Linked DNA regions of Coturnix japonica. The protein of the gene in region 3 purifies or fractionates together with the protein of the main gene of each other region. This does not show direct contact. Links are inferred from orthologs where the notes say so. Each region holds a gene or a part of one and is shown on either strand. Other genes may lie near its edges. The genes, in order: SF3A3, SNRPA1, DHX15, SF3A1, SF3B1, DDX5 and PRPF8.

Region 1 (4,586 bases), on a different chromosome or scaffold from region 3:
CCTTCACTGTGAGCCCAGCATTAACCACACACTGAGCTTGAAAAGCCACCCTACAGAGGGACACGGTGGCTCCTGCCACATGCTTTTGGGGCTCACTGTGGGCATCCCTCGCTGCCCTGTGGTTGAGGGCTCTCTCTTTCCAAACATTCTTTTCAGCTCCCTGCTGGAGGTCACCCATTTCCCAGCTGCAGGCATCTACATGCAGCGTCAGGTCATGGCTCCAGCACAGCCTCTTCTGAGCTCTTAAACCCAACATAAACCTGCCCCAGCAGCTCCTGCAGCCCTGCAGGGATGGGTCTGGAGACCAGGTGCAGCTGAAGGCTTGGACTTGGACCTGTGTGTGCTAACAAGCCCGGGTCCACTACTGTCCATACTGCCTGGGGTAGTGGGGAACCAGAGCTGAAGGTGAACTTTCTCCTTTGCCTCTGTTACGTGAGGTTAGGGATGTGGCTGAGCCCTTCAGGCATCCTGAATGCTCCTCCTGCTGTTATCCCTTCTTCCAGACCCTCAGCTAAGGTCCAAAAAGGTGGGGAGGCCGCAGAACTCACAGAGACAGCTTTATTCCTCAATATACTCAAGGATCATGTAGTTCCAACCCCCCTGCCTAGCAGGGCCACCAAACATACACATTTACTAGTTCAGGTTGCCCAGGAGACCCCATAGATCCCCATAGAGACCATAGAGACCCCATAGATCCCCATAGAGACCCCATAGATCCCCATAGAGACCCCATAGACCCCATAGATCCCCATAGAGACCCCATAGAGACCCCATAGATCAGGTTGCCCATGGCCCCGTCCAACCTGGCCTTGAACACCTCCAAGGACGGGGCATCCACAACCTCCCTGGGCAGCCTGTTCCAGGACCTAACCACTTTCCTAGTGAAGAACTTCCCCCTAACATCCAACCTAAATCTTCCCTCTTTTAACTTAAAACCATTTCCCCTAAGTCCTGACATCCTTCAGCCGTGATGTCCAAAGCCCATTAAGCACAACGTCTGTTCATCCCAGGAGCAACATCTGTAACCCCAAGGCAGGCAGGAAGGAGGCAGCACCGGACTGGACATGTTTTATTCTGCTTGGGCTGTGATTCATGGCTGTATAACGCTGCCCACAGCCACATTGAAGCTGGAGGCTTTCACCCCAGCCTGGGGGCACCTGCAGTGCTCTCAATCCTTACGACTTTATGGGTTTGAAGCGAGAGGTGTCAGAAAAGTTCCCACTTTTCTGGGATAACTGGGATAACTGGCTTGTGGCGGCCAGTGGATCTCACTGCTCTACACCTTCACATGGGCTAAAATCAACGCGGAACCACATTCAATCCGGATCAAGCGGCTCAGGGAAGGGGCCGGACCCTTCCGGTGTTACACAGCGAGCTTCTGGTTCCGGGCTGGAAGGGGAGAAGATGGAGACGATCCTTGAGCAGCAGCGGCGCTACCATGAGGAACGAGAGCGGCTGATGGACGTCATGGTGAAGGAGATGCTCACTAAGAAATCCACGGTGAGCCCGGGGATGGGAGTGGGGGGACACAGGGGGTGTGTGCCCGGGGAGAGGGGGGGGGGGTGTGGGGGGGGTAGGCCGGGCTCAGGCCTTCATTATTAACGCCGTTTATTTCTATGCAGCTCCGCGATCAGATCAACTCCGACCACAGGACTCGGGCTATGCAGGATGTGAGTGGGGTCGGGGTGTGAGTGGGGCTGGGGGTGGTTCGGGTAGCTGTGGAGGTGCAGGGCCCAGATTGGCCCCGGTTTGGTTGAGGTTCTTTGTGTCAACGTGAGGTTTGTGTTGTGTTTTAGAGGTACATGGAAGTGAGCAGCAACCTGAGGGACCTGTATGACGATAAGGATGGGTGAGTGTATAGCGGGCTGGAATGGACATGGGGCTGCCTTGGATCTGCTTTATACACCACAGACATGATGCTACAATGCAAAGCTGGGGGTCTGCCCTAAAGAGGAGGACCCAGATTTCACATGAAACATGCAACACAAACACTTCTCAAGCAGAAAGCACAGAGCAGTACTACAGCCCTGTCCCCCTTCCTATCCCCATATGGGGGTGGAGCTGATCCCCCACCACACTCCTACCTCCTCTCACCCAACCCCACCAGCTGTACCAGACCCTCTGGTATTGAATCATTGAGGGAGACGGTCTCTAACTGAGACTGCAGCGTTTGCAATAGAGATGTGACCCTGATCCTCAAAGCACAATCCTGGCTGCATGTGGAACATCAGTGGGTGTATGGGAGATTGGTAATCACAGCCTGAACCTCTGATTAATCAGCTGAGCCAAGTGTTGGGTCAGCTGTGGGAGCACAGGTGAGAGTAATTTAGCTGTTCCCCATAAAGGGGTGGAGCTTGACTTCACCTCCTCTAGACCTCATTGAAGGGCTGACCACCACTAATGCAGCATCTCTTGGTGATTGCTGCTTGGTAGTGATCACTTCAGTGGTTCCCAGCAGATCTAAGGCTTCCATATGGGTGAGCTTAACTTGTAAATAACCTTTTGGTTATTTACTACCATCTTTTCATTATTGTCCCCATATGGTGGGGCTGTGATTTCAGTCTCACTGGTGTTTTGTGGGAGCAGAATGCAGTGTTAGACTTCCAAACATTATACCAATATAAACCAACATAAACGTGTTTTCTATATGCAACCTGTCTTCTTTTTATGAACCTGTAGCTTACGGAAGGAGGAGCTCAGTGCCATTTCAGGGCCAAATGAATTTGCTGAATTCTATAACAGACTGAAACAAATAAAAGAGTTCCACCGCAAGCATCCCAATGAGGTAAGCAGCAGCTCCATAAGGATAACTGGTTTGTGGTGTGTTGGGCTTCATCTCTGCTGTATTAAAATGTCATTCAGGAAAACAAAGTGTCTAGAAATAGGTGATGCTTTGAGACTTTATATGAGCCTCTGTCTGAGTAGGAGAAAATGCAGGATGCTCACCATGTCCTCCACACTCTCTATTAGTTTAAGAGCATTCTGCTTCTGAGCTAGCATTCATTCTTGCCTGCCTAATGCTGTCTTTAGTGCAAATATAATCATGAAGAAGTGCTTGAAACACCTCTTCAGTTACTTGTTTTACTGTTTGCAGTCTGTATTAATTACTCCTGGGCATTAGCTGAACTAATCCCTTTTTCTATAACTTCTTCTGTTCCTGAAGATTTGTGTTCCAATGTCAGTGGAGTTTGAGGAACTGTTGAAGGCCAGAGACAACCCAAGTGAAGAAGCTCAAAGTAAGTCTTCAGGGTTTTGTTTGTTTCTTGTTTGAGGTTTGTTTAGTTGAGAACACATTGCTTGCCGTGATTTAGTGACCTGTCTGTTCTGCTTTGATTTCCACCTCCCTTTCCCTACATTAACCATAACAACTGTTTTAATTTCATTTAAATTCTTCTGGGCTGCAGCCACCCTGAAATATTCCACTGTTGAGATGGTTCTTTTGGGGGATGGTCTGATATAACACTAGGAAGCTGGTGGCCATCTAGTCGATGAGTATCCATTTGCATTATAAACATGCTTAAGAAAGATAAACTAGTCTGCAGTTCAGCTTCTAAAGCATGCATATAACAAGCAGAGGATGTTGAGTTTGTAACAAAGCCCTGCGTGCTCTTTCCTGCAGACCTGGTGGAGTTCACAGATGAAGAAGGGTATGGAAGATACTTAGATCTGCATGATTGCTATCTCAAATACATTAATCTGAAATCATCAGAGGTAAGTGGTTGCAGTAGTGTGGGCACTCTGTTGTATTGCACTTCAGTGCTGAGGGCTCAGTGGTCTGTTTTAAATGTCATTTATTTCCAAATAGCTGTTTTATGGTGCTTGTTTTGCATTGTGTTAGAAAGCACACTGTAAACCCCAGCCCTGTGCAGACCATGCAGAATAAAGGCATGAGCTTTGTGCTTTTCTTCTAGTCTGGTGACTGGAAATTGGTTGCTGATATGCTGTGTGTATCTAAAGTCTGAATCAAACTTCCTTTCATTCTTAGAAACTGGATTACATCACTTATCTGTCTACATTTGACCAACTCTTTGACATCCCCAAAGAGAGAAAAAACGCTGAATATAAGAGGTGAGTCTTTTTCCTGCCTGCTTCATTCATGAAAGTAGTTGATGAGAAGGAATTTGCTTCTCAAGTGTCCAGGAGCAGAGTTAGTAATCAAGCAGAGGTGACAGAGATTGGGTCACTGAGCTGTATTAACTCGGTCATAAATCCCTTGAGCCCTGAGAGGACGTGAAGCACAACAAAACGTGGGAAGCCGTTGGGCTTCTAATTTTGAGGCAGTACTTTAGTTTGCTGTATTGAAATCTGTTCTAATCTCGGTAACTTTGTTATATCAGTACTTTGATATGGAATTGTCTGTGCTGATAATTACTTTGCCAGGTATCTTGAAATGCTTCTGGAGTACCTACAGGAGTACACAGATCGTGTGAAACCATTACTGGACCAGAATGAGCTCTTTGGGAAAATTCAGACCGAGTTTGAGAAGAAGTGGGAAAATGGGACATTCCCTGGCTGGCCGGTGAGCAGCTGTGAATTCAGTGTCAATGCATTTGTATTTGTGCTGGATTTCCCTTGAGTTGTCTGTG
Region 2 (4,717 bases), on a different chromosome or scaffold from region 3:
GCTGCAGAGGGATAAAAGCAAAGAGGGATCGTTAATATCTGGGAGCAACGTGTGCTTCTCTCACTTCCAAAGCAGGTTTGGAAGCGTTTCAATCAATCAAGTGTAGTATCTTCTCTTTGTTAACAAACTGATACAGTGATGAATGGCCTCCTTCAGAAACACCAACCGCTTGGATTTGTCCTCACTGTCCCATCCCCTTCCCCCCCCCCAGATCTTTTCATCTGCTCATAATGAGGCAGACTGGCACCTTAGAATTAAGCGGCTGATGAAAGCTGTTGGATTTGGATGTTGTTGAACCATCACACAAAGCAGAGTGAATGGAATTGGATTTCAGTATCTCACAGGATACTGGGACAGCCTATGTAAAATGAATGGTGGAAGTTCCTTGTGAGTTACCTGCTGCTGCTTAAAGGACAGCAGACGTTTGTTGTCTATGGAAATGGAAGTCACAGCTTGAAAGAGCTGCCTAAATGTGACCCAGCTTCACAGACCTGCGCCCTGTCCTGCGTGTATTTGGGATGTGAACTGGGTGTTTGATTCATTGATTCACTTGTTCAAAAGCCATCACAGACATGGGCCATTTCCACTCATTAACCACAGCGAGAGCACATTTGATAACAGTTCTAAGCACTCACTGAGCACCCTCAATGTGATCAATAGATTTTTCAGTTCCCAGTCACTATAGAGAGCAAAACCAAGCAAACCACAGCCCCCTCTCTGCAGTAAAATAACACAGAGTTCCCTGTTTACTGCTATATCCCGATCCACCCTGACCAAACGGGTCTACCATAAAGATCTCAGATGTGTTCACCACCATCCAAACAACCAGGGCCGTCTCAGTTCGGTGCCGCACACAACGTGGTGTTTCTGAAGGAGAACGCCAGTGCAAGCGTTTGTTTTATCTTACGTTTTTGATCTCCTGGCAATATCCTTTGCAAGCTGTGCACCCCGTTTGCCCTTGAACATTTTCTCTGCCTCCTGTCGCTCCTACAGCGATACCACACATACAAAGTTAATGGAAGGATGTAGCATTTCGCAGAGCTGCTCTTTGCAAAGAAAGATGCTTTGGCTCATCTTCAGTGAACATCAGCATGAGGAGCCCAGGACAAGCACAAACACATTGCACAAACACTCCAACTCGAGGTGTAGCACTTCAGTGCTCTTAGAAGCAACAGCCCCAAGCAGAGGGCTCTGCTCTGATCCCTCATTCCTTTCTCTACGTTCCCCTTATCACCACCAACACCGGCCAGCCAGAAAAGAATCAGACTAAACAAACAACAGCAGTGAAACATCAATTAAAAACAATAAAGCAGATTACATCCTTAACGGCGTGAAACCATCAAAGAGAAGCACCAGCTTTAAAGCCTCATAGGACAAACTGTTCCACTGCCATTTACAGCTGGGGCAAAAAGCTTTACTGATTTCACTACAGTTCTATGAGTTAATAGGAGAAAAGGTCTCCATCTGGTGTTCAATCCGAAGGTAACAGACTTACTTTGAGTTTCACTTTCTGAAAATCCAGCACTCTGACTTGGGGAACTTTGTAGATAACATATAATCTGTAATGCTTCTTATTTGTTACTGGGTTCCTTAAAATGCTACGAGGCAAATAAAGGTCACAAAGAGTTACTTCATGTATTGAATATATTGAAATATATCACAACAAGCCGCTGCTTTTCTTTTCAAGATTACCCACCTCAGGTAAGTCAATGTTTTAATACTTGATAATGGATCCAGTTCACCCTATATAATGGAAGAACAGAGTAAGAATCTTAAATCCATTTCACGACAATCAAATATTTCAGAATGAAGCTCCTGAAGAAGACGACTAATTAGAAAGAGGACAAAAACATTAGAGCTGTCAAGATTTATTCTGCATCACTAACTTACCAGTTCAGAAATGTTGTTGTTGGTAAGAACCAGCTCTGTGAGACTGGGCAGAGCTTGTTCAAGTCCTTCCCCAATCCGACTACAGAAGAATAAAAACACAAAGATTTTACCTTTGGCTGGAAATTAACAATGGTGGACACAGACACAGATATATTAAAAATCACGGAATCATTAAGGCTGGAGAGATCTCAGAGATCATTCAGCCCATCCCCACCATGCCCAATAAACCTGTCTGTGGCCAACACAGCTGAAAGCATTTTGGGCCACCTCTGTCCCCTCTCCATGGCTCTGGAACACCTACAGAGACAGCAACTCCAACCACCTCCCTGGGCAGCCATGCCAACATAGAGCACCTCACTTAAACACAGCCAAGTATGACAGCAGCAGAAGTTTGGGTGAGCATCAGCTTTGTAACAAAGCCAACATAAAACAGCAGCTGCCACTGTAAGGGCACCAGGTGCAGCAAGGTAGCTCTGTTCACTCAGCTGCAGGCACCCCTGTCTGTGCATCACTATGGGGGTAGTGAACAACCCCCAAGGACCCAACACAAACTCCAGGCCCTGCATCTCATTGTCCTGTATGAAAATGGAACACAGAGCTGGGGCAGAACTTTGCAATGAACAAAGCCGGCTAATTGAAGGCTGAAGCAAATACCAAGCGCTATTTCTTCCCCATAAAGCAGATATTTTTACACCTATCAGGTATTAAAAGACACGGGCACGCTTCTTTTCCCTTCTTCACTCTGCTCTGCCCCAGGTCCCGTCTGATCACAACACTGATCACAACACAACCACGTACCAAATCCTGTTGTTATTCATCAGAAGAGTTTTCAACCTTCTCAACAGAGGGAACCCATCCAATTTCCGAATCTCATTATCCGAGAAATCAATCGCATCGAACTGATCCAACGTAGCCCCTAAATTCTCAATGACGGGGATTTTATACCCTGTGGGGGGGAAAAGAAACGTGAGAAGGGAATAAAGCAGGATGGGATGGAGCTCTGGGGACACATGAAAGAGGCATTTAACACACAGAACGACCCCCCCCATTGCACGGCCCGTTCCCAGTGCAGGCCCCACGCCTCCCCTCAGCGCAGGCCCCACACAGGCCCGCTCCCGATCCCCCCCCACAAAGCCAGGCCCGGCTCCCTCCCGGCAGATCCATCTCACCCCGCAGGTCGAGCTCTCGGTCTCGCACGGCGTTGGTGTATTGAGCCGCCTGCTCGATCAGCTCCGCCGTCAGCTTCACCATCCCGCCCGGACACACAGGCCGCACCGAGCCCACAACGCGCCGCACGGCCGAGCGAGGCCGAACACAGCCGAGTACAGCCGAGAACAGCCGAGTACAGCCGAGAACAGCCGAACACAGCCGAATACAGCCGAGTACAACCGAACACAGCCGAACATAGCCGAACACAGCCGAACACAGCCGAACACAGCCGAGCACAGCCGAACACAGCCGAACACAGCCGAGCATAGCCGAGAGGAAGAGGGCCGTCCTCTTGCAGCCCCTCCTCCACAAAATGGCGGCCGGGAGGGGCTGTATAGAGGTGGCTTTTCTGAGCTGTCGAGCTGGAAGGAAAGCGCATAGAAATCAGAATCATGGAATCACAGCGTGGTTGGGTTAGAAGGGACAGCGCTGGGTGTTGTAGAGGGGAGCATCCATCGCTTGTCTTGGCAACCCGTGCCAGTGCATCATTGTAAATAAGAGCCAATTTAAATAAATAAAAAATAAATAAATAAAAGTTGTCCTTGTGCCCAATTCTGGTGTGGTCGCAGTTGAAGCGCTGCAGCACTTCGGTCAGCAGAGGGAACTGCTTCCCTGTGCACAGCCCAACACAGCTGGAGGCGTCTCAGAGCCACCTGAATGCGGACCTTCCTCCTATAGCACAACACACTGTATTGCTCAGCTCTAGGGGTTGTAATGGGGTTGTAACAGAGCAGTTCTTGGTTTCAGATGCTGTACACGAGCTCTGGAAAGCTCCTTTGTACTGGAAAGTCCAAGTGGTGGTTTTTAAGATTGCTGTGGATGCAGCCTCACAGCCAAACTGCGAGCGGGGCTTCAGGCTGCACTAAGATCCAGCTGTTAGAGTTGAGTTGTTGGTGCCAAGAGACAATGAAGAAATGTGCTTTAATAAATTGTATTCGTTTATCTGGTAGAGGCACACTTTGATCCTCTGTGCATACCAGCGGCTGAGAGGCTTTAATAGCTCCAAGCAATAGCTTAGATAAATAATCTGAATGTTATTGCTTTCCAGGAATGATTTCTGAGGGAGTCGGAGCCCTGGGAAACACTGGGAGCTGATGTCGTTGTATGAACTCGACACGGAGGATTTGTTTCTCTTTCCCTGTGGGCTGGAAGGCAGCAGAAAGCACAGACTGCTGGGGATTGGTCATCTTCAATTGCACTACCTCAGCCAGGCTGTGCTTTCATAGTTTGTGCCAAGGATAAGGGTAAATTCAGCATTTCAGTGCATCTAAATATACCACGGCAGAGCTGAGTGCCAGAGCTGACACGGTGCTCCCGGCTGGGACTGGGACATGACAACAGCAATGGAAGTTTGTTATTTGATGAGCAAAGTGGCAGAAGCCAGAAGCATTTCGCCCCATTTCTGACCTCTGGTTTGGCCCGAGAACAACAGGGGGATCCCAGAGCAGCAGAAGGAATCAGTGTGTGATAAATCATCTGGCTCAGTCCCACTGATCCTCTGATACTTGTGAAAAGCTGTGAGATGCACGAGCCCACAGCAGCACAGCTCTGAGGAAACATCCTCTTTCAGACTCTGTGATCATTGTGGATCCCTTCCAACTCGGGGTGTTCTATAAGC
Region 3 (4,910 bases):
TTTCCCACTTTCCAGGGAGATCCAGCCCCCTTATTGTTTTATTTTTTGTCTCCCTTCTCTAATCAGCTCAACGTCTCCCCTATTTCCAGTATTCTTAAGCTTTTGCTTAATACAGTTGTCATTTAAAGAGCTTTGTGTAGCTACCCTCTGGGAATGTAGTGCTTTGTACGCTGCCTTGGAGAAAATAAGCTTGATATTTGGCATGTAGAGAGAAACCCGTAACATTTAACCCCTGGCAAACTGTGACACAGATTTTTCCAGAGTTTTTTTGTAATATAACTTGGAAAATTACTTCCAGTTTTGCATGAAAAGCTCAAAGTCCAGAATTTCTGGAATGTTTATTTCAGTTATCACTTCAAGCAGAAAAAAATGGTATTCTTTATTGTAGTAGTGCCTAGAACTTGAGCTGAGGGTGTCGTTTTGTTGTATCGTTTAAAATAAAAAATGCTCTTCTACTAAATATACACTGATGGTTTGTCTTTGTGGAATGTTATAGCAGTTACACTGATGTAACTCTGGAAGAACATGAGGGTGTGGGTAAACACCTACTTCCTGAGCTGGCTGTGCCCGTGGAACAGGTCACTTGCTGCTAAGTGATTTTTTCTGACCATTTTCAGATTTGCTAGCTGAGCCAGTTGTGAGAATACTCTCTTGCCCTCAGAGTTACACAAGTTAACAACAAATTCTTATTCAAAACATCTGATCTAACCTAATTCCTTTGACCAAAGTGCTGGGGAGTGACCACTCCTCCAAGTAGCTAGGTGAAGGTTTTGGTAATCTCTGGCAGAAAGGCAGTGAGAACAGGCAGGGAGGATGACTTGGAAAACAATGTATTTTTTGTCAGGTGCACCTAGATGAAGAGATAGGAATGAAATGTACTGCCATAATATTAACCTGTCTTATCTGAGACATTAATTTAAACCACTACTGCAGCACTGAGAGAACATGAAATATACTGGGAAAGCAGGGAGGAACAGAGAAGAGAATGTCCAACAGTAGATAAGTATCAAGAAACATCCTTCTTGCCTTTCGAGAAGCTCTCAGAGATTGACTTTTATGAGCTATGCTGTATTATCAAGTGACTGTTTTGGAAAGCAAGGCAGCTGCTAAGACTTAATGATGGATGAGAGGAGAAACAGCTGAAGGATCTAGTTGTGAGAGCACGGGGGTCTGCCTAGAAATAATAGTGCTCATATCAGTGGTGAAATGATTAACATTACAAACGATTCACTTAGGACATCTCATTTAGGGACATCTTAATTGCCTGATTTTGTCTTCTCCTGCTCAGCCTCATCTCTGCTTACAGTCAGGGAACAAACACAGCTTGCATGGATGGTTAACCCAGTTCCTAGAAGGCGCTGGGGGAGGATGGAGATGAGGAACACAGTTCAGGACACAGAGACAACCCAAAAGGCAGGTTTGCTGGATCCAGTTTGAGCCATAGATTGCTGCTGGTACTGGCTGGAAATGTGAAATGCATCAGTACACAAGAAAGACCTGATAACTGTATTGAGAAAATGGCATTTTTAGCTCATGTGTCTCATTGCACTTCAGCAGTTGTTATGAAATACTAGTTTGTGTTCAAATCTAACGAACTTTGATGTAATAGTGGCAGCCGTGCCTGCTGGCGTTAGGAACACGGGCTTCCCTTGCACTAGCAATCCCAAATACATGAGTGTCATGTATTTGAATGAACGTCACCGATTTTCTCACTTCTGCTTCAGATGACTTGTGAAAGGTCGCGTTTTTCTACACACATGGGCGTCAGCAACGGCCCACAAAAACGACGTGCCAACATCATTCTGCTTTTAACTTCCACCGTGGAAATACTCCTGTGCTGGGGAGCAGAACGGACTGTGGAAAGCACCTTTGCCATCCGCTCCCGCCCGCCCCCACAGCGCTGTGGGCCGCAGCCGTTGTGAGGCGCGGGGCGGGGCGGCGCTCACTCCCATGCGCGGCAGCGGCTCGCTCAGCCCCGTCGCTTCCTTCCGGCCGCCATTTTAGTGGCTGCTCCTGGCCTCGCGGCGCCGCTGCCGTCGCTGCTGCTCTTGAAGCGCAAAGCGCGTTCCCTTGAACCCGGCCCCGCTGCACCCAGCGGCCCCCGCCATGTCCAAGCGCCACCGCTTAGATCTGGGCGACGATTACAGCTCCAGCAAGAAGCGCTCTGACGGGTACGAGGCAGCGCGGCCCGCGGCGGGCGGGAGGATGGGGGGGATCAGCGCCGCTCCCGTGATCGGCTGCTCGTTCTGGGCCCAGGCCGCTCCCCGCGGGATGGAGCCTCCGCCGTGCGGGGCGGCACGAAGGGATGGATGGATGGATGGGAGCGGCGAGGCCCGGGCGCGCTGCAGCGTGGGACTGGGCCCAGCTCGGCCTGGAGAGTGGGGGAGGCGGATGGCGGCGGGGAGGAGAAGGAGGGGCCGGGTTGTGCTGGGGGCGGTGGGGCGGCGCGGCTTTGTGTGCGGCCTGCCCGTACCTTCAACTCCGCATCTCCTTTTTGATGCGCTTGTGTCGTTTTCGTTTAGTGGCAAACGTGATCCAGGGGGTCAGCGTGAGGTACTGCGTCCTTAAGCGGGTGGGAGCGTTATTCCTTTGTTAGCTGCCTGCGCTGGGTACCCGGCTGGGGTTGTGCCTCATGTGAGGAGGCAGCGCCAGGTGGGGTTGGGGTGGGATGTCACGGTGGGAGTAGGTTTCTTTGTTTTGCGTTAGTTACTTTTAGGGCTCGATGCACCAGCTTTAGCAGCCTTCCATCAAGGTTAGTGGCGTGGGGGGTACACAAACAATGTGCCGTTGTTGTTTTAGTGCGGTCTCTTCATATTTTGTGTTCCCTGACGTTGGTTTGGGAGCAAAGGGCCTCAGAAGGCTCAGGAAGGCAGGGCTGTGTTTATCTGGCCTGCCCTTCTTGGGAAGCACAGAACCCATCCTGAATCCCATCCTGAATCAGCTCCTCCCTGAAGCCCAGCAGTGCTGTTTAGGTAAAAGTGTTGATCTGAGAAGAATCAGCACAGAATATTGCACCTCAAACCTCCATAGGTGCCGGGTTTGTGTCCCTTTGTCCTTCCCTCATCTGCCATTAAAACTTTACCAAGTCTGCCGTTAAAAGCTTTAAGTGGCACAGGACTAAGAGTCACTGTGGACTTGTTGAGTTTATTTCTTTGTCATAGTCCTTGAGATCTTAGTTCATCCAGCACAAGGCACACACTATTCATCCTAAGTTGTCCTGGCTTATGTAAGGGTCGGTAGGTTTTCCAGCCTACAGAAGGCTGCGATGCACAAGTTGTTACCAACATGTATATTCTTGTCCTATTCTGCACACTGTGGCTTTCTGCAGTGTAGTTGGTTTTGGAACTGGATTAAACTATATTAGCTCCTTGAATAGATACCACATCATGTATAGAATAGCATTGTACCTTGCCTTCAACGTGGGTCACCTGTCTACAATGTAAAATTATGTTGAGTTGTTGCTATGTTCTTTCTGAGGCCTGTATCAGTGTGTGTAACCCCACATGGCAGTCATGCTGTTGGTTTGCAGCTGTTCTTGCAGCCTTAGTGGCTTGACACCACTCGTTATCTTCCTGTCTTGAAGAATCCTCTGTGAAGACAAAACCTTTTGGGGAAGGTGTGGTTTAGAAGTTTTCTGTTACAGTGCTACTGTGCAAGTTGTATGTGTGCAATTTAAAACCCGATGGTTTTTTTTTCTAAGCACGCTTATCTTTGTTTGGTGTTGTGTAACATCACAGTTGCTGTGTTTGTGTGATGCATCGTTTTCACTGATTTTCTTAGGTAAAGAGCAGAAATGCCAATCTAACTGCTGCTGCTGCATCGACTGCCAACAACTATTGTTGCGTCTGCTTAGTAGTGGCAAAAATGCATGTATCAGTGATGTTAGTTTTGCTTAGACTTCTGTTGTGATGAATGGAACTGGAACAGGCTGCCCAGGGGGGTCGTGGAGTCTCCTTCTCTGCAGATATTCAAGTCCCACTTGGACGCCCACTTGTATGACCTGGTGTAGGGGAACCTGCTTTGGTGGGGGGTTGGACTCGATCTCTAGAGATCCTTCCAACCCCTACAATTCTGTGATTCTGTGAATGTTGGTTTAACCTTATTTCTTTTCCATTTGCAGTTTTCTGTGCTTTTATGTCCTCTAAGTCAGTGATTTATTTTTTTCACCTTTTTTTTTTTTTTTCCATCTATTTGTATGGGTGGGCATAAGGAGTTCAGGTAGCAAACCAGGCAACCTCACATGAGAACAGAAATCCAACTAATAAATATAAATGCCCAACAAAACCCACCGTTGCCACCAACCTCTTCCCATTTATGAAGATTGTTGTGGACTTTATGCACGAGACAAATGTTATTAAGTTTTGATTCTTTTTGTTGTTTGTTTTAGGGTTTATGGTCAGGCTGTTAAGTGCAGAGATGAGGAGCGACTTAAATGTGACATTCCATTAATGAAGAACTGCCAAGTTGTGTTTCCAGAGATTTTAGTGTTATCATTTGGCAGTGTAACCATCACTCTACCTGTCCCTTGTTTTGATGCAAGGTACCTGGTGTGCCTCATAGATTTCAGTGGTAGTGGAAGGCTGACAGACATGTTCTTAGGAAAGTAATGCTGTTGTAGAAAGATTAATATTGATGATTAGATTTAAGGTCTGTTTTTTCTGTGCTGACGTCTGATTCCCCTCTTTTATACTGTTCTTAACCATTTTTGGAACTGAAAATCAACTCTCTTGGTTGACCTTTAAGTCAGCTTTTTGACTTCTGAAATGTAGGTAGAACTTGATCGGTTCCTTTTCTGTTATGACTGAAGAGTTAATGAGATAACAGTCACTGGGGAGTAACAGTTCCAGTTTGGTTCCCACTTGCTGTCCATTTAATTTACGTTAGCTAGAAGTTTGCTTATTACTTTAGCA
Region 4 (4,128 bases), on a different chromosome or scaffold from region 3:
CAACATGAAAACATAAACTGCTGGTGTTAGCCAGGCCATCTTAAAATGCTGAAGTATTTCTGTCTGTCTTAATGCTATGTGGGGTATCTAGGGACTGGATCTTGGTCTTCCTGGCAGAATACAAATAGCACAGGAGGTAAATACCTCAGCTAGCTATGTGAATTCTGCAGGGCATCCAGACAGGAATACCTACCTTTTCCTTAGGTGAACTTTCTTGAAATGAAACTAGTCTTAAAAACTTGGTGGTCTATTAAGAAACTCATAAATATCTTCTATTAAATCATGTAATCCATACACTGATGCTCGATTTGAATATAGCCAAGTGGAATGGGAAGTTTTTAACTGTCCTGAGAAATATTTGCTGTGAAATGCTAAAGGCTAAATTAGGATATGTACACATAACTGCTGTGTGTGTGACTGACTGCTATGTTGGGTGTGAGTTACATGGAGGCAGGGAGAGGTAAACTTCTTCCACACAGGACAGGAACTTATCCTGAGGGGTGAATGCATGGACACAGCTTGCTGTGAAAGAAACGGATGTTTATGCTTAAGTTGATACCCATTATCTAAACTTATTTTTCCACCCTGCAGAAATGGTCCAGAATTTGAAGCTCGAATTCGTCAGAATGAAATAAATAATCCTAAATTCAATTTCTTGAACCCCAATGATCCCTACCATGCATACTACCGACACAAAGTCAGTGAGTTCAAGGAGGGCAAAGCACAGGAGCCCTCAGCTGCTATTCCCAAGGTCATGCAACAGCAGCAAACTGCTCAGCAGCAGCTTCCACAGAAGGTAAGTGTTCCTTTGCACTTTGATTGCTTCTCACTCATTGTTTCTCACATTGTGATGCTAGGCAGAATGATGAAAGCAGAAAGACAGTGTGAGGGAAGGAGTTAATTGATAAATAGTTGCAATAGAGGACAACTCACAGGCATGAAATTTAGCATCTGGGACTTTCTTCTGATACAGGTGTGCATCCCCTGGTTGCTGGTAACTAAAACATTGTGTAGAAGATCAATAAATTGTATTATTTGGTGCATTTTAATTATACTTAGTTATTCATTGACTTGTTTGGTACTTAAGGCTTAGTGTTCATGTGGAGTGTATGAATTTAGGACTGCCATACACAATCCTTAAATATCCTTTGGGGTTCAGTTTGGGCACGTTGCATGCACTGTCTTAGAGATACACTTCTGTTTTGTTTTCTTCTTTTTTCCTGCCAGAAGGATCATCTCCTTGTGAAAATATGTACAAAATATTGCTTATCTTGCTTAGTTTTCTTCATAGATACTAAGTGGAAAAAGGGTACTGTCTGAGTCTTCTACATGCTTTGCTTGACCTTATGCTGTGTGATATTGACTGAAGGACTGATAATCACTGGAGGATTGTAGTGAAGTCCTGATAGCTTGCAGTGTCATTAGCTCTGGGAACAGTGTTTGTTTTAAAGTAGGCCCAACTACAGGGCTAAACTCAGCATTACTGCTTTTCTTCCAATCCTTACAATTGTCAGAGTATCTATACTAACGTTGTTTTCCTTCCACAGTTGAAGGGAAGATGAGCTCTCTTGACTATTCAGTACCAATTTCTTGCTTGCATTCACTGAGCAGTCTCTGTTCTGCTCTGTAGGTTCAGGCCCAGGTGATCCAGGAGACGGTTGTTCCAAAAGAGCCGCCTCCAGAGTTTGAGTTCATCGCAGATCCTCCCTCAATTTCTGCCTTTGATTTGGATGTGGTGAAGCTGACAGCGCAGTTCGTGGCTCGGAATGGGAGGCAGTTCCTGACTCAGCTGATGCAGAAGGAACAGAGGAACTACCAGTTTGACTTCCTTCGCCCGCAGCACAGTCTCTTTAACTACTTCACAAAGCTGGTTGAACAGTACACAAAGGTACTTGTGGCGTTGCAACTGTCAAGTTGATTTCCTCAGCAGCACTCTTGATGCCCTAAAAAACAGCTGGGCTAGAAATACATGCAGGCCTAGGAGTCCATCCTTAAGGGTGCCCTTTAAAAAGGGTGGGTCTCTTGCAACTTGCTGGCAATATGCAGCACTGAATGCTCTGTTACTTCAGAATATCAAACACTAAAGCAATATAAATACATTTTAAAAGTGGCATCTTTTTAAAGTACTGATTGTAGATAGAAAGGACAGGAGTGAGTAGTTTAACTGCAAGCGCAATGAGTGGCAAGACAGGAGAAATGGAATACAGCCCCAGGGGTCTTTACTATTGTTATCAGTGTGGAAAGAGAATAATTGCAGTTAAGGAGATTTTGGCAACAAGTAGTCACCAGCTGTCCTTTAAAATGTGTTTCAGATCTTGATCCCACCGAAAGGCTTACTCATCAAGCTCAAGAAGGAGGCTGAAAATCCCAAAGAAGTCTTAGATCAGGTATTTATATGAATAACTCAAAATTGCTGAAGCATTTCAGTTATGTGTTGAATTCTGTCTCTGCATACATCTAATTTGTTGTCTATGAATTCCTTGCTGTGAACCTTCAGCAGGGCCTAATGTGTCATATCTGGCTTGGTCTTGACTCGAGCTCCGCAGTTCCAGCTTCAGAAAGCCAATTTATGAGGCTGGCACAGTACCCTTTCAATGGGCAAACCTATGGCTTCTGTGTTATAGTATCTGTTTGCCCTACCCTGGCCTCCAAAGCGGTGCTTGTATGAATACCTTGAAGGGGTTTTTAGGATAAATTTTAGACACCGTAGAGCTTATTATTGTGTATTTTTGGTGTGACGTTTGGTGCTAGCTCTGAATCTGCTTGTACAGGTGTATTACAGAGTGGAGTGGGCAAAGTTCCAGGAGCGAGAGAGAAAGAAGGAAGAGGAAGAGAAGGAGAAGGAGCGTGTTGCTTATGCTCAGATTGATTGGCATGATTTTGTGGTTGTGGAAACAGTGGACTTTCAGCCCAACGAGCAAGGTACTGAAGACAGGCATTGTAACCTCTTGGAACTGTACTTCCTCTGAGCAGAGCATTGGTTTTAGGAAGACATGGGATTTTACAGCTGTGTAGCCTTCAAAATGGAAAGGATAGCTTCCTAATGATGGGATAGGGCTGAGTTTCTTCTGGAATCAAGTAGTATTCTGTGGCAGTGTCTGCTTTTCCATCTTGAAGCGGGACAGCAAAACTTGTCCCATATTCTGGTGGTGCTTTCACCTATAAATGTCTTCATCTCCAGCTGTTGTTATAGTGTTAGTCTGGACAGAGTTTAAAACAGAGTGACTATATGCCTCTAAAATGGCTAAAAAAAAAAAAAACCAACAACAAAACGAAACCAAAAACTGTTTCTCAAGAAATTGGTGCTTCTGTCTTCCCATTATGCAATCAAATGGGACCAAGAAACAAAAGCTGTGTTTTTTGCACTGTAGGGAATTTCCCACCTCCCACCACTCCAGAAGAGCTGGGAGCTCGAATCCTCATCCAGGAGCGCTATGAGAAGTTTGGGGAAAGTGAAGAGGTAGAGATGGAGGTGGAGTCAGATGAAGAAGATGAAAAACAAGAGAAAACAGATGAGCCTCCAACCCAGCTGGATCAAGACACGCAAGTGCAGGATATGGATGAGGTAGGTAGCCAACAGAATTGGCATTATTCTTGCCCTGTGAGATTTGTGTGGGGTTTATTACGTCTTCATTATAATACGTTGCTCAGTATATTGAGGGAATTGAGATTTCCTTCCGATTGAGTTTAAAAATGACCTGTTTCTGCTGAAATACTGGAATATGGTGTATTTAATATTCTCTGTGGCAATACAATTTACAAGAGAAATCTGGGAATTCAGTCACCCGGTGAATTGATGTGAGGTTATTTCTGTCATCCAGTCTTCTAAATTTTCTTACACACTAGGGTCTGGAATGTTGAAAAGATGTCTCATTTCAGACTCTTCCTTTTAACCACTGCATATAATCAGTTTTTCTGTTAGCAAGAAACAAGATCATTGAGACTAACTGTAAGCCCTGGCTTGCCATGCTGTGGTAATGTGGAAGCTGAGGCTTACTTACTTCCTTTTTTGGGTCTGCTTAATTTTTGAGTTTGTGATTACCAAAGGAACCACTGTAGTAGAGGTGTCAAGAGGCGAAATAGCTCAGTTACTCTGAAGCTGCATAATCAGTCCTTGTGGTTTTGCAT
Region 5 (4,128 bases), on a different chromosome or scaffold from region 3:
TTCTATAGTCCTGCTCTAATATTATTTTATTCCATGATCATTTAATTTTACTTTTTGATTGAAAATTTTTAAAATTACGTGTATCTTACGTTTATTCAGTTTGCTGATCAATTTAACCTGTTTGAACACAAACGTAACTACTGCAGTTTCAAACAAATATTTTAAAGCAGATATAAATGATAGAATGACAACACAGTTAAGAGTCTTCAGAAGTGATGGGTTCCTGGGTTGCTAATCCGGAATACGTACACTTTCGTGCCTTTGTCTCCATCAGCAGTTCTGACTTCAAGCAGCAGAATAGAAGCCTAGAAAATTATCTCTTTACCATTAGTAACACTTTGGAAAGATATTTATATTCAAAACATTACCTTGTGCAAGCTGCTACATCCTAGTAGTTATCTGACTATAAACAACTACTGCATACCTAAGTAATGTTTAAAATGCTTTATCGTAAGGACCCATTTATAAGTTTGACAAATCTGGACACACCTCCCAGATCTTCCAGTGTCACATTGTAAAAGGGCTTCATTTAAAAAAGCAAGAAATCCCAGAAAACTGATAGCACCTTCCCCCTCCTTTCAAAGAACAACTGCGACTGGGATCTGAACGTAATACATTTACCACCACAACAATACTCACACGGAATGGGGTTTGTGTACCATTTGTTGTTTTATGCTCTGTATCTTGAGTTAAAGTTTAACTTTTACGTACTTTACAAGAAGCCCGACTTTATATAAATTAAGACTTGTCAAGAAAAACACTATTAATTAAAAGGAATGTGCAGATTGCTATACGAGTGGTATAGCAATATAGTTTAGGAAGAAAATAAAACTCTTAAACATTTCTATGCTGAAGATCATTGCCCAATTGGCTGTGTCACTCTGACACTAGCTTTGATAGGACTTTCCTTTGGAATACTTTTTCACCATAATCTACACAGGATGTGTTGAACTGCACCCTTAAGAATGCAGACAGGACTGGCATATAGCAGTACTGCTGTAGGAAAGAAATTAAGGACAGTTAGTATGGGCCTGTGAATTCTGACAATACATGTTTATATCAATTACAATTAAGCAAGTAAAATAAGTAATATCCCTAATAATTCATGCAGGCTGCAATTCTAATTTGTAAAACCTGCAAAACAGCTGCTGATTTCAAGCCAACAGGCACCTCACTGCCACAAGTGAAACTCACTCGCCTCAAGAAATCTTCCATCAGACCCACTACACCCCTTTTCCTGACTTGCATTCTAAAATTATCTGAACAGACTTGAACTATTAATAGTATCAAAGTCTTACATTCGCTTTTGTTCCTTTTAGCTATACCACCTAAGTTTACATAAGATGGTAAGAATTAGGTGCTCTATTTTGAGAACTAGCATTTCAAAAGCAATAGCCCTGTAAAACTATGACTTGGAACGAAAGCTTTCAAGGTATTGAAAGACTGAGCACTCAATACACAAGTTGTTCAAGTATAATGCACAACCCAAAACAAAAAGAAAAGAGAAACCTTTAACCCTTTGTGTTTCTATGGCAATGGCTCATTATTTTCTTGTCCTTCTACCTGGAAAGAAAACTTGTATTATAAAGATGAAGAATATGGCATCTAGGTTTTCAACCCAACCTCTACAAAAAGGGGATGTTTAAAACAAAACTAAGTTTATAAGCATGCCAACAGAAATCAAAGGGCTAAAGACAGTTTAAGACAACAGATCTCAAAAAGGGTATAAAAAAAGTCAAAAATAAATTACCATCTGCAAAAGGATCGAGACGCTCAGGGGAAATTATCATCATCCGCCTGTGCTTTTTGTACTCATCTTCCCGATCTGCAATCTTTTGAGGACGGTGTTCTGCAAAAGGATCATACTAAAAACAGAAAAAAAAAGCTGGTTATCACATAGGAACAACATGAAAAACGCTGCTGACCGTTACACTACCTAAATATAAATCTTACTTCTGAAACTAGAATGGTTATTGAAACGCAGAATTTTTTGATCAAATAACTTCCTGTTACTGTTCTAAGAAGCTTTTTCATTTGCTTCTAAGGCATTTCATCCCAGCAGTCTTTCTTCTTTGGAAGAATAAAACTTCTTTCAGGAAGACTTATTACAACCTCATACACCTTTAAGCTTCAAAGAAAACCATTTTAGGAGAATAAAACATTCACAATTACATTGTTGTTACAAAAAGCTTAAGAGACATTCAGCTGCTCCAGATATTTGTATTTTTTTAAGTATACAATTGATGTTTTTAAGTAGTCCAGCATATATGCACATGTTGCCTCTACATGCACAAGTGCCAATTTCTACCACGTGCTGGAATTGTAACATAAAGCACAGACAAGCTCGGTGCTTCAAATACTGTAATGCCTTACGGACATGCTGTGCTTTCAGAAATGAAGATGTGGTCTTGAAATACTAATACTTCTCCTAAGACCCAAATAGCCTTTTGTTGTGCCTTGAGTTCAGACATACCTGTTCAGTTGACTGCGGAATGTCATTAAGCAGTGCCACTGGAGCATGGTACCCCGGCTTCTTCTGGCCAAGCAAACTTGTAGATGGGTAATCATCATCATCCTGCCAGAAGAAAGACGTGGCAAAGTCACACCAATACTGGCTTTAGGTAACAATGTCACATCAACACACTGCAGTCATAGGTAAGATGAAAAGGGACGGGAATATTCAACTCCATTTTCAGCAACTGATTTCACATCTATTGTTGTATTACTCCCAGCAATCAACTGCTGAACCAGATACAGCTCAACAAACAGCTACATTGATACCTTATTCCTTAACAGACTCGGTGAATGTACTGCATTTACTCCAAGATGCCATCTTCAATAACTAGTATTTCATATTAGTGCTACCAATGCAATGAGCTAATTGTTATTGAAAAAGCTGTGCACACTGCTCTTTTTTTCTTAAAATCCAGACAAATACAAAGAAAATGTCAGTAAGTAACCCTGAAAAACACTTCTGCAATAACAAAAGACTGAGAAATCAATTAGAGCTCTGTTAATTTGGTTGTACCTTCTCAACCACAGCACCAAAAGCAAGTCTTCAGAATGTGTGAGATACTCTGTGTATTCTGTGCAGTTATCAATGAGACTCCGTGCACCAGTTTACAGCAACACGGAAGGAAAATTGCTCGTAAAATTATTAACTGAGTTCAGGGAAACGCTGTAAGGGAAGTTTTTAATTAATGCATTCCTGAAGTCTTCAAATACTGCACCACTACAAAAAGATACCAACTAATACTGAACCACACATAACATTCTTGCTTCTCCTTAAAAATATTCTCTGCTCACTTTAATACACAGTTACTCATTGTGTGTTTATGATCAGAACTGCTTTCTGATTGCTTTTGAAACCAAAAATGTGTTTAACATTAGAATGTAACAGAACTTATCAACATAACCTTAACCACCCTTATATATGAGACAGTGCAAAAGTCAATCCACAGAAATAGCACCGAAAGTTCAAATGAAGTAGAAATGAAAATATTAAAATAGCCACTTAAAATGTCAGGCCTGTGTTTTATTAGTTTTTTCCATCTCATTTTTCACCTTGGCAGCAGCAACAAAACCAATTCAGACGCTCTAAAGCTAACGGAGCACCAGCCGCCCCGATCTCAGTGTCCTCCTGGAGCTCTGTGCCTCTCAGAGCACACGTCATCAAGTCCAAGCAGACACAGACCTGATGAATGCCCAGAGTGAGGCATGTTTGTTCAGTTAACTGCAACTATAAATCGCTTCAAACAAAACACCACAATGCTTAGACACTCCTTAAAGAAATGAAATCACTTACGTCTTCCAATTCAGTTGCTGCGATGGAAGTTACGTATCCAGCAAACCTGCTGTCACTGCCACCATAGATTTCTTGGTCATAATATCCGGTGGAGTCGAGGCCCACTCCTTGTGCTTCATCGAGGGCAGGCTTTTTGCCTTGAATTTCTCGGATCTGCGCTTCGATATCTAGGGTAAAAACAGCCAAAAACTCAGGTCTTTGTCAACATACAGAAAATGCAACACTTCTATCATCACATTCAGCAAACCACCCAGTTTCTAAGTCCATCTCTAATTAACTGAATATAATTATCACATTAAACTATAAAACCACGATGTATACGA
Region 6 (3,142 bases), on a different chromosome or scaffold from region 3:
GACAGTGCATAAAAACAACTTGGTGACTTTTGGGGGACAGGTATGTTTTTCTTGCAGCTGCAGTTCAAAGGTCTTGGCAAGACGAGCAGTGTGGCCCATTTTTTTTGAGCTTCTAATGAGTGTGTATGTGAAGGACCTTGTATGTTTTTACTCTAAGGTCCTCAAATGAGCACATGAAGAGGCTGCTGTGAGCTTTAGTGGCCCTACTGCAAGAAGCATTCAGATGTCACTTGATGATTTGTAAAGGGGACTCTTGAGTTGGGAATGACAAGCAAATGCATACTCCTTTATGGTAAGGTTTTGGATCACAGGGTGGGTGATAAGACGGGAACAGACGGAGTGTGCATATCTTCCTCTTCCACAATATTCGTGCAGAAATGGATAATTCTAACACTGTTCTTTGCAGCCATTATTTCATTGAAAGTACTATTGTCTAACGTTTATCTTCGATTTGGCTGTTGTGGTGTGCAAAACTTTGTACCTCGCTTTTTGCCACACTGCAACACTTTACAGATGTGGAAGATGTGAAATTTGTCATCAATTATGACTACCCTAACTCCTCTGAGGACTATATCCACCGAATTGGACGAACTGCCCGCAGTACCAAAACAGGCACAGCATATACATTCTTTACTCCTAACAATATTAAGCAAGTAAATGACCTCATCTCTGTGCTTCGGGAGGCTAATCAAGCCATCAACCCTAAGTTGCTTCAGTTGATTGAAGACAGAGGTTCAGGTGAGTGCTATTGTTAACGATGCACAGCTTTTCTCTCAGAACAAACTGGCAATCTTTAGCCTCTCAAAAATGGATTCATATCCAGCTTACTTGCCAGTTATGGTGACCTCCAAAGGTGTTAAAACGCTTGTGAGCAAAACCTGCCCTCACAATGCTGTGCTGTAGAGCATCTTGTGAGCTGTGGCTGCTGATGTCAAAGATGGGCTTCAGGCTCATGTGTTCTGCATTAAAACATCTTGCAGGGAGGCTCAGCTGTTTGGCTTCCTCTTACAGTTAGGAGATAACTGCATGTAACTCCTATTGGTGAGACCAAAGCAGCTTTCCTTCATGCCACTGCTCATATTACAGGGGAGAGTGTATGACCCTGCCTTCATTAGGGAAAGGGCTCTAGCTTCATGTAAATGTAAATCTTCATGTAATTCTGTGCCCAATGAGTCCAGTTAAAAACTGGAAAGCCTTTTCAGTAGACTTGACTTGCTGACAAAGGAAAAGAATGTTCATGAGTTGAACTCACCAGATGCTAATTAAATGCAGCCTTGATTGCTCTTGTCTATCTGATATCTATCAGATATCTTACTTGTCTTGTCTCTTTACTAGGTCGTTCCCGAGGTGACCGACGTGACAGATACTCTGCGGGCAAAAGGGGTGGATTTAGTAGCTTTAGAGAGAGGGAGAACTTTGAGAGAACTTATGGTGCACTAGGAAAGAGAGACTTTGGAGCCAAAGCTCAGAATGGGGCCTACAGCGCCCAGAGTTTCAGTAATGGAACTCCTTTTGGAAATGGCTTTGCAGCTGCAGGCATGCAGGCTGGCTTCAGGGCCGGTAACCCTGCAGGAGCTTACCAGAATGGCTATGATCAGCAGTACGGGAGTAACATTGCAAATATGCACAATGGCATGAACCAGCAGCAGTATGCGTATCCTGCCACTGGTGCTGCTCCTATGATAGGTTACCCAATGCCAGCGAGTTATTCTCAATAACTTAGTGTATTTAAATGTCTCAGTTTTTCATAATTGCTCTTTATATTGTGTGTTATCTCAGAACAGGATAGTTATTTAAGAAATGGGAAGCGCAGAAATGACTGCAGTGCAGCAGTAATTATGGTGCACTTTTTCGCTATTTAAGTTGAATATTTCTCTACATTCCTGAAACAATTTTTAGTTTTTTGTACTAGAAAATGCAGACAGTGTTTTCAAAGTAAATGTACAGTGATTTGAAATACAGTACCAGAAGGCAGTGCATGGCCTTCCAATAAAGATATTTGAAGACCGAATTTTCTTTCAGATGGCAATTTTCTCAACATGTGCACAACTTTACACTAATGGAATGTCAAATGTTTTTATATTCTAGAGAGGTTTCTCAACTGTGTCTGATTAAACATTTAAGCTTATATTAAAAACAAACCAGCCTTGCCTTGATTGGGCTCTAGATCGCTTAGCATGGCAGGCTCTGTTTGGTGGGGAAGAAAAGCAAAGCTGGCTACTGAATAGCAGTTGGAAATGGTCTTCTTCCTTGTCTGATTAGCATAGGGCCAGTTTGTTTTCTTTATTTTGGAGAAGATTCCTTGGAGTGATGGTGTAGCTGGGCATCTCGCTAACCAAAGCTCTGCTCAAGTGGTGTTGCTAACGAGCTTCTGCCACCAGTGTAGGAAGCTTTTTTGCAGCACCGTAACTGTTGCATATGTGCAGACTAGGCTTGAGTGTAATGTGTCTGCAGCTGTCAGGCCTTGTGAGTTAGCATGCAGGCTTACTATGAGCTTCAGAGAAATGGGAAGATCTTTAGTATTAAAACTTCAAATTATACTTAAACTGGTATTGAGCGGTGATTTCTTTGCGGCAGCGGGAGGAGGGAAGCGGGCTGTTGAGTGAATGGGGGGGTTCTTTGTTCCTGACATTTGTACAATCCCTGTGTGCAGCTGAAGCCTCACTGCTCAGCACAGGAGGGTTCTGAGGCATTTCCTTGCTGGGGTCAAGCAGAAACACTCAATTCTGGGCTTGTTACTGAATGCTTTCAACAACAGTATCTTAAAATTCAACTGAATGTTAACCTTCAGTTCCCACTTTTAACAATAATCATTTTTTAATGGTAAAAATGCTTAACCACTCTTTGCTAATGTAAGAATTGGGCAAGATTCTGTCCACGTTATTCTGAATCTCAGTCTGTGATTTCAAGCCTCTTGAACCTCACTTGCCTTTTCCCCATCTTACTGTGCTATCTTCCCCCCAAGTCAACTTGTGCTACTATTAATTACACTGTAATCCATTATTTTCTTAACATTTATACTTCTGTAAGCTCCTGTCACTGTAGCACTCTGAGCTGTGAAGAACAAGCAGGTTTTCTGACAGGGAATAGCACCAACCCCTGGTTGAGCTGCACGCAGCTGAGAGGTGCTGTGTGACAGCCC
Region 7 (4,128 bases), on a different chromosome or scaffold from region 3:
CTGTTGTAAATACTCAGGAGCTGCTTGACTTGTTGGTGAAATGTGAGAATAAAATCCAGACTCGAATCAAAATTGGTCTGAATTCCAAAATGCCCAGTCGTTTCCCACCCGTGGTATTCTACACCCCTAAAGAGCTGGGAGGTCTGGGTATGCTCTCTATGGGACATGTTCTCATCCCACAGTCTGACCTGAGGTGAGTAATATTGCCTGATCTGAACTGCCCACATGATTTAGGGGCTCTGTTAGATATTCTTTCCCATTGAAGTATTTAGGAATGCTAAACCACAACTTGCTTACAGAGATAGGTTGTCTTTACGTCACGTCAATGTGACTGGTGATGTCCCGTTGCTCCTACCTCACTCTTCTGCCTCTCTGCTCCAGGTGGTCCAAGCAGACCGATGTTGGCATTACTCATTTCCGCTCAGGGATGAGTCATGAAGAGGACCAGCTCATCCCAAATTTGTATCGTTACATCCAGCCATGGGAGAGTGAATTCATTGATTCTCAAAGAGTGTGGGCAGAATATGCTCTCAAACGACAAGAGGCTATAGCCCAGAACAGGTATATTTCCATGTTAAATTAGATCTCTGTGTGTCTGTAGCCTGTCTATAGTGATAGCTGTGGATGCTTTTCTGAGCTTCTGAGTGTCATTTTAGAACCTCTCCTGCTACAGCCTTGAAATCTGTATCCTTTCTGTGATCTCATCGCCTGAAATATTAATGCACTGCCATAAAATTGAGAGGTAACAGAGTGTGGGGATGTTTCTTTTCTTCAGGCGTCTGACACTGGAAGATCTGGAGGACTCATGGGACAGAGGAATTCCTCGTATTAACACCCTTTTCCAGAAGGACAGGCATACCCTGGCTTATGACAAAGGATGGAGAGTCAGGACTGACTTCAAGCAGTATCAGGTATTGACATGGGATTTCTCAGTGTGAATTTCAGGCATCATCTTAGATACTGCCCAGTCTGAATTACCTACTAGGTACTGTCTGAACTTGTAGATGAGCCATACCTTCCAGAATGGGTGTATGAGGTTTTTTACTTGTTAGCTGACATCATCTTGGTTCCTGAAATTAGTGCAGCATGGTTAAATGATGTGAATGCAGAGCTGCTCACTGGTAGGTTGTTGTTGTTTGCAGGTCCTGAAACAGAACCCATTCTGGTGGACACATCAGCGCCACGATGGGAAGCTGTGGAACCTGAACAACTACCGCACTGATATGATCCAAGCTCTGGGTGGAGTGGAGGGGATCCTGGAGCACACTCTCTTCAAGGGCACTTACTTCCCTACATGGGAGGGTCTCTTCTGGTAAGAGAAACCTTGATCTGGCCTTGAGCAAATTGGAGCTTTGTGATACACCAGGAGTTCTTGGCTTGAGCTGCACTTACTCTGCTGAGCTGTTCTGTTTTCCAGGAGCACACCATATAGTTCAGTTTGAGGGTACCTGGCATTGCAGTATAACTAGATTTATGCATGTGATTGCATGAAAGTTCTTTACATGAAGCAGTTCTTGCTCCTTCTGTTCTGGTGCCTTGCTTCTATTCTATGTGGTCCATGAAGATCAGCTGTGATTAGGAGCATCTAACACAGTTGATCGTCATTTCTAGGGAGAAGGCCAGTGGCTTTGAGGAGTCCATGAAGTGGAAGAAGCTGACAAATGCCCAGAGATCGGGTTTGAATCAGATTCCAAACAGAAGATTTACTCTGTGGTGGTCTCCTACCATTAACAGAGCCAATGTAAGTATCTGGAATTAGCTTTCAGGATCTTGTGCTGAGTTGAGAGCAGTTATCTGGTTCTTCAGCTGAACTGTAGATCTGAGCCTTCTGAACAGCAGCAGTTCTGTTCTCTAAGCTTCACCAGTTTTGCTGTTACATGTTCTCATGTCTGTTTTTCGTTTGCAGGTATATGTTGGCTTCCAGGTGCAGCTGGATTTGACTGGTATATTTATGCATGGCAAGATCCCCACACTGAAGATTTCTCTCATTCAGATTTTCCGAGCTCACTTGTGGCAAAAGATCCACGAGAGCATTGTAATGGATTTGTGTCAGGTAAGCAGTGTGTTAACAAGGTTTGTTCAGTGCACACTTGCTCCTTGTATACTAACAGCCTCCTGCTCTTGACAGTAGCAAAGCAGCTCCTCTAGTAATTCGACAGACAAGGGGAGGAAACTGGATTTTCCTGGGTACCTGCTTGTGTGTGTTGTGGATAGACTCTGTTAGAGTCTTCTACTGATACTGTAGAGTATACTATAGATACTATAGATACTTCACCTTCTACTGCCTTTTCCCCAGGTGTTTGATCAGGAGCTGGATGCTCTAGAGATTGAGACAGTGCAGAAGGAGACAATCCATCCCAGGAAATCATACAAGATGAATTCCTCATGTGCAGATATCCTTCTCTTTGCTTCCTACAAGTGGAATGTGTCACGTCCATCATTGCTTGCTGATTCCAAGTGAGTGTTTCCCTACAGAGACAAGCTGCTGAGCTTGTCCCTGAGCAAAAAGCCTTATATCTTGGGAGCCCATGGCTGACATACTTCTCTGGGTATCCAGGAGGACATAATCATGCCTGGAAAGTGCAGGGCTAGTATGGGTAGATGTTTTCTTTTCAGTAGGGTATGCATATAGTACCTGGCTTCAGGGATCAGGCTTGGTAGCACTTACTCTCTGCCAAAGAGATGTACAGCAACTGCAGGAGAGTTCTATGCAAGATTTAATTACTCTGGGCTGCTTTCTTCTTAGAGATGTGATGGACAGCACCACCACTCAGAAGTACTGGATAGATATCCAGCTGCGCTGGGGCGATTATGATTCCCATGATATTGAGCGCTATGCAAGAGCCAAGTTCCTGGACTACACTACAGACAACATGAGTATCTATCCATCTCCCACTGGTGTGCTCATTGCCATTGATTTGGCCTATAATTTACACAGGTAAGAACTGCATCGTCTGTATTTTAGCTGTAATTCATAGTTGATGGATGTGTCTTAGTGCATCTTCAAACTGGGCTGTGTTCCAGGCTGGAGTTGCTGTAATAGTGGTTCAGCTCACTGATTGTTTTCTTAAGAGATCTCTGCCAGATGGAGTTCAGGGGCAGGCCTTGTTTAAAGGCCATCTGTAAGAGGGAACAACTGCTCTTCATGAAAGAGCAAGGCAGAGGTGTCCCATCAAGCAGACCTCTCTAGTACGACAGTTGCAAACCATGCAGTTCTTGTGGGACTGTGCTGCACGTGTGTGCTGTGGCTTCCCACTGAGGGGAAGAGAAGGGAAAAGCAGCCGCTGAACAGCTCCAAGAGAAATCATTCACTGGTAGACAGCAGGCAGAAAGGTGCCTGTCTGCTGCACGTGAAGACTTGTTCTGTTGTCCCTTCATCTTAGACCTGATGGTAACAGCTGTTTCTTTCTCTTTTCCTCTTCAGTGCATATGGGAACTGGTTCCCTGGTAGCAAACCTCTGATCCAGCAGGCTATGGCCAAAATTATGAAAGCAAACCCTGCGTTGTATGTGCTGAGAGAACGAATCCGCAAGGGCTTGCAGCTGTACTCATCTGAGCCCACAGAACCCTACCTTTCCTCTCAGAACTATGGAGAGCTGTTCTCCAACCAGATCATCTGGTTTGTGGATGACACCAATGTGTACAGAGTGACCATTCACAAGGTAAGGCCAGAGCTGCATCTTAAGGGGGAAGGATGGGGGCTGTTAATGTTCTTTGCTCAGGATGATTGAGGAGAATGTGCCTGAGGGTAAGCTGGACACTAACATGCACCCAAACCTTTAGCAGTGTGTACAGAGCAGCCCTTGCATTTCCAGCATAGTTCCTTTTCAGAGCATTTAACAAGCCAGCTGTTGTGTAAATGGTTGGATAGGCTGCTTTCATCTCACTGTACTTTCTACTTCTTATTTCCTCAGACTTTTGAAGGGAATTTGACCACAAAACCTATCAATGGAGCCATTTTCATCTTCAACCCTAGGACTGGACAGCTCTTCCTGAAGATCATCCACACCTCTGTGTGGGCAGGACAGAAACGTCTTGGACAGGTGAGACCTGGCTGCTTTTTATGCTTTTGGCAGCAAGGCAGGGGCATGCAGTGATGTTTTGGAATGCTCAGTTGAGCAGAAAGCA

What was found.
Region 1: the proteins of DHX15 (region 3) and SF3A3 fractionate together in Homo sapiens (co-fractionation; 3 studies listed by BioGRID and IntAct, with this or other methods). This does not show direct contact. The link is inferred for Coturnix japonica from reciprocal best matches to the Homo sapiens genes DHX15 and SF3A3.
Region 2: the proteins of DHX15 (region 3) and SNRPA1 fractionate together in Homo sapiens (co-fractionation; 3 studies listed by BioGRID and IntAct, with this or other methods). This does not show direct contact. The link is inferred for Coturnix japonica from reciprocal best matches to the Homo sapiens genes DHX15 and SNRPA1.
Region 4: the proteins of DHX15 (region 3) and SF3A1 purify together in Homo sapiens (co-immunoprecipitation; 5 studies listed by BioGRID and IntAct, with this or other methods). This does not show direct contact. The link is inferred for Coturnix japonica from reciprocal best matches to the Homo sapiens genes DHX15 and SF3A1.
Region 5: the proteins of DHX15 (region 3) and SF3B1 purify together in Homo sapiens (co-immunoprecipitation; 6 studies listed by BioGRID and IntAct, with this or other methods). This does not show direct contact. The link is inferred for Coturnix japonica from reciprocal best matches to the Homo sapiens genes DHX15 and SF3B1.
Region 6: the proteins of DHX15 (region 3) and DDX5 fractionate together in Homo sapiens (co-fractionation; 3 studies listed by BioGRID). This does not show direct contact. The link is inferred for Coturnix japonica from reciprocal best matches to the Homo sapiens genes DHX15 and DDX5.
Region 7: the proteins of DHX15 (region 3) and PRPF8 fractionate together in Homo sapiens (co-fractionation; 3 studies listed by BioGRID, with this or other methods). This does not show direct contact. The link is inferred for Coturnix japonica from reciprocal best matches to the Homo sapiens genes DHX15 and PRPF8.

The regions. Positions count from the first base shown.
Region 1 is NC_029538.1:3,123,889-3,128,474, forward strand, and holds the start of SF3A3 (splicing factor 3A subunit 3), read left to right. Parts: upstream 1-1,357; 5' UTR 1,358-1,404; coding exon 1,405-1,500; intron 1,501-1,622; coding exon 1,623-1,670; intron 1,671-1,796; coding exon 1,797-1,849; intron 1,850-2,679; coding exon 2,680-2,785; intron 2,786-3,163; coding exon 3,164-3,236; intron 3,237-3,619; coding exon 3,620-3,711; intron 3,712-3,985; coding exon 3,986-4,068; intron 4,069-4,380; coding exon 4,381-4,519; intron 4,520-4,586. UniProt on the Homo sapiens protein: Component of the 17S U2 SnRNP complex of the spliceosome, a large ribonucleoprotein complex that removes introns from transcribed pre-mRNAs.
Region 2 is NC_029525.1:15,973,271-15,977,987, forward strand, and holds the start of SNRPA1 (U2 small nuclear ribonucleoprotein A'), read right to left. Parts: upstream 3,241-4,717; 5' UTR 3,142-3,240; coding exon 3,060-3,141; intron 2,837-3,059; coding exon 2,689-2,836; intron 1,970-2,688; coding exon 1,891-1,969; intron 1,744-1,890; coding exon 1,697-1,743; intron 1,599-1,696; coding exon 1,496-1,598; intron 988-1,495; coding exon 908-987; intron 2-907; coding exon 1-1. UniProt on the Homo sapiens protein: Involved in pre-mRNA splicing as component of the spliceosome. Associated with sn-RNP U2, where it contributes to the binding of stem loop IV of U2 snRNA.
Region 3 is NC_029519.1:66,707,862-66,712,771, forward strand, and holds the start of DHX15 (pre-mRNA-splicing factor ATP-dependent RNA helicase DHX15), read left to right. Parts: upstream 1-1,982; 5' UTR 1,983-2,106; coding exon 2,107-2,171; intron 2,172-4,910.
Region 4 is NC_029530.1:9,660,263-9,664,390, forward strand, and holds part of SF3A1 (splicing factor 3A subunit 1), read left to right. Parts: intron 1-591; coding exon 592-796; intron 797-1,630; coding exon 1,631-1,888; intron 1,889-2,312; coding exon 2,313-2,387; intron 2,388-2,771; coding exon 2,772-2,922; intron 2,923-3,371; coding exon 3,372-3,565; intron 3,566-4,128. UniProt on the Homo sapiens protein: Component of the 17S U2 SnRNP complex of the spliceosome, a large ribonucleoprotein complex that removes introns from transcribed pre-mRNAs.
Region 5 is NC_029522.1:31,251-35,378, reverse strand, and holds part of SF3B1 (splicing factor 3B subunit 1), read right to left. Parts: intron 3,973-4,128; coding exon 3,806-3,972; intron 2,576-3,805; coding exon 2,474-2,575; intron 1,866-2,473; coding exon 1,751-1,865; intron 1,542-1,750; exon of another isoform or gene 1-1,541. UniProt on the Homo sapiens protein: Component of the 17S U2 SnRNP complex of the spliceosome, a large ribonucleoprotein complex that removes introns from transcribed pre-mRNAs.
Region 6 is NC_029533.1:7,256,144-7,259,285, forward strand, and holds the end of DDX5 (probable ATP-dependent RNA helicase DDX5), read left to right. Parts: intron 1-513; coding exon 514-738; intron 739-1,335; coding exon 1,336-1,718; 3' UTR 1,719-2,546; downstream 2,547-3,142. UniProt on the Homo sapiens protein: Involved in the alternative regulation of pre-mRNA splicing; its RNA helicase activity is necessary for increasing tau exon 10 inclusion and occurs in a RBM4-dependent manner. Binds to the tau pre-mRNA in the stem-loop region downstream of exon 10.
Region 7 is NC_029534.1:4,145,508-4,149,635, reverse strand, and holds part of PRPF8 (pre-mRNA-processing-splicing factor 8), read left to right. Parts: coding exon 1-193; intron 194-381; coding exon 382-561; intron 562-775; coding exon 776-911; intron 912-1,142; coding exon 1,143-1,312; intron 1,313-1,611; coding exon 1,612-1,741; intron 1,742-1,906; coding exon 1,907-2,053; intron 2,054-2,296; coding exon 2,297-2,457; intron 2,458-2,746; coding exon 2,747-2,938; intron 2,939-3,424; coding exon 3,425-3,662; intron 3,663-3,914; coding exon 3,915-4,043; intron 4,044-4,128. UniProt on the Homo sapiens protein: Plays a role in pre-mRNA splicing as core component of precatalytic, catalytic and postcatalytic spliceosomal complexes, both of the predominant U2-type spliceosome and the minor U12-type spliceosome.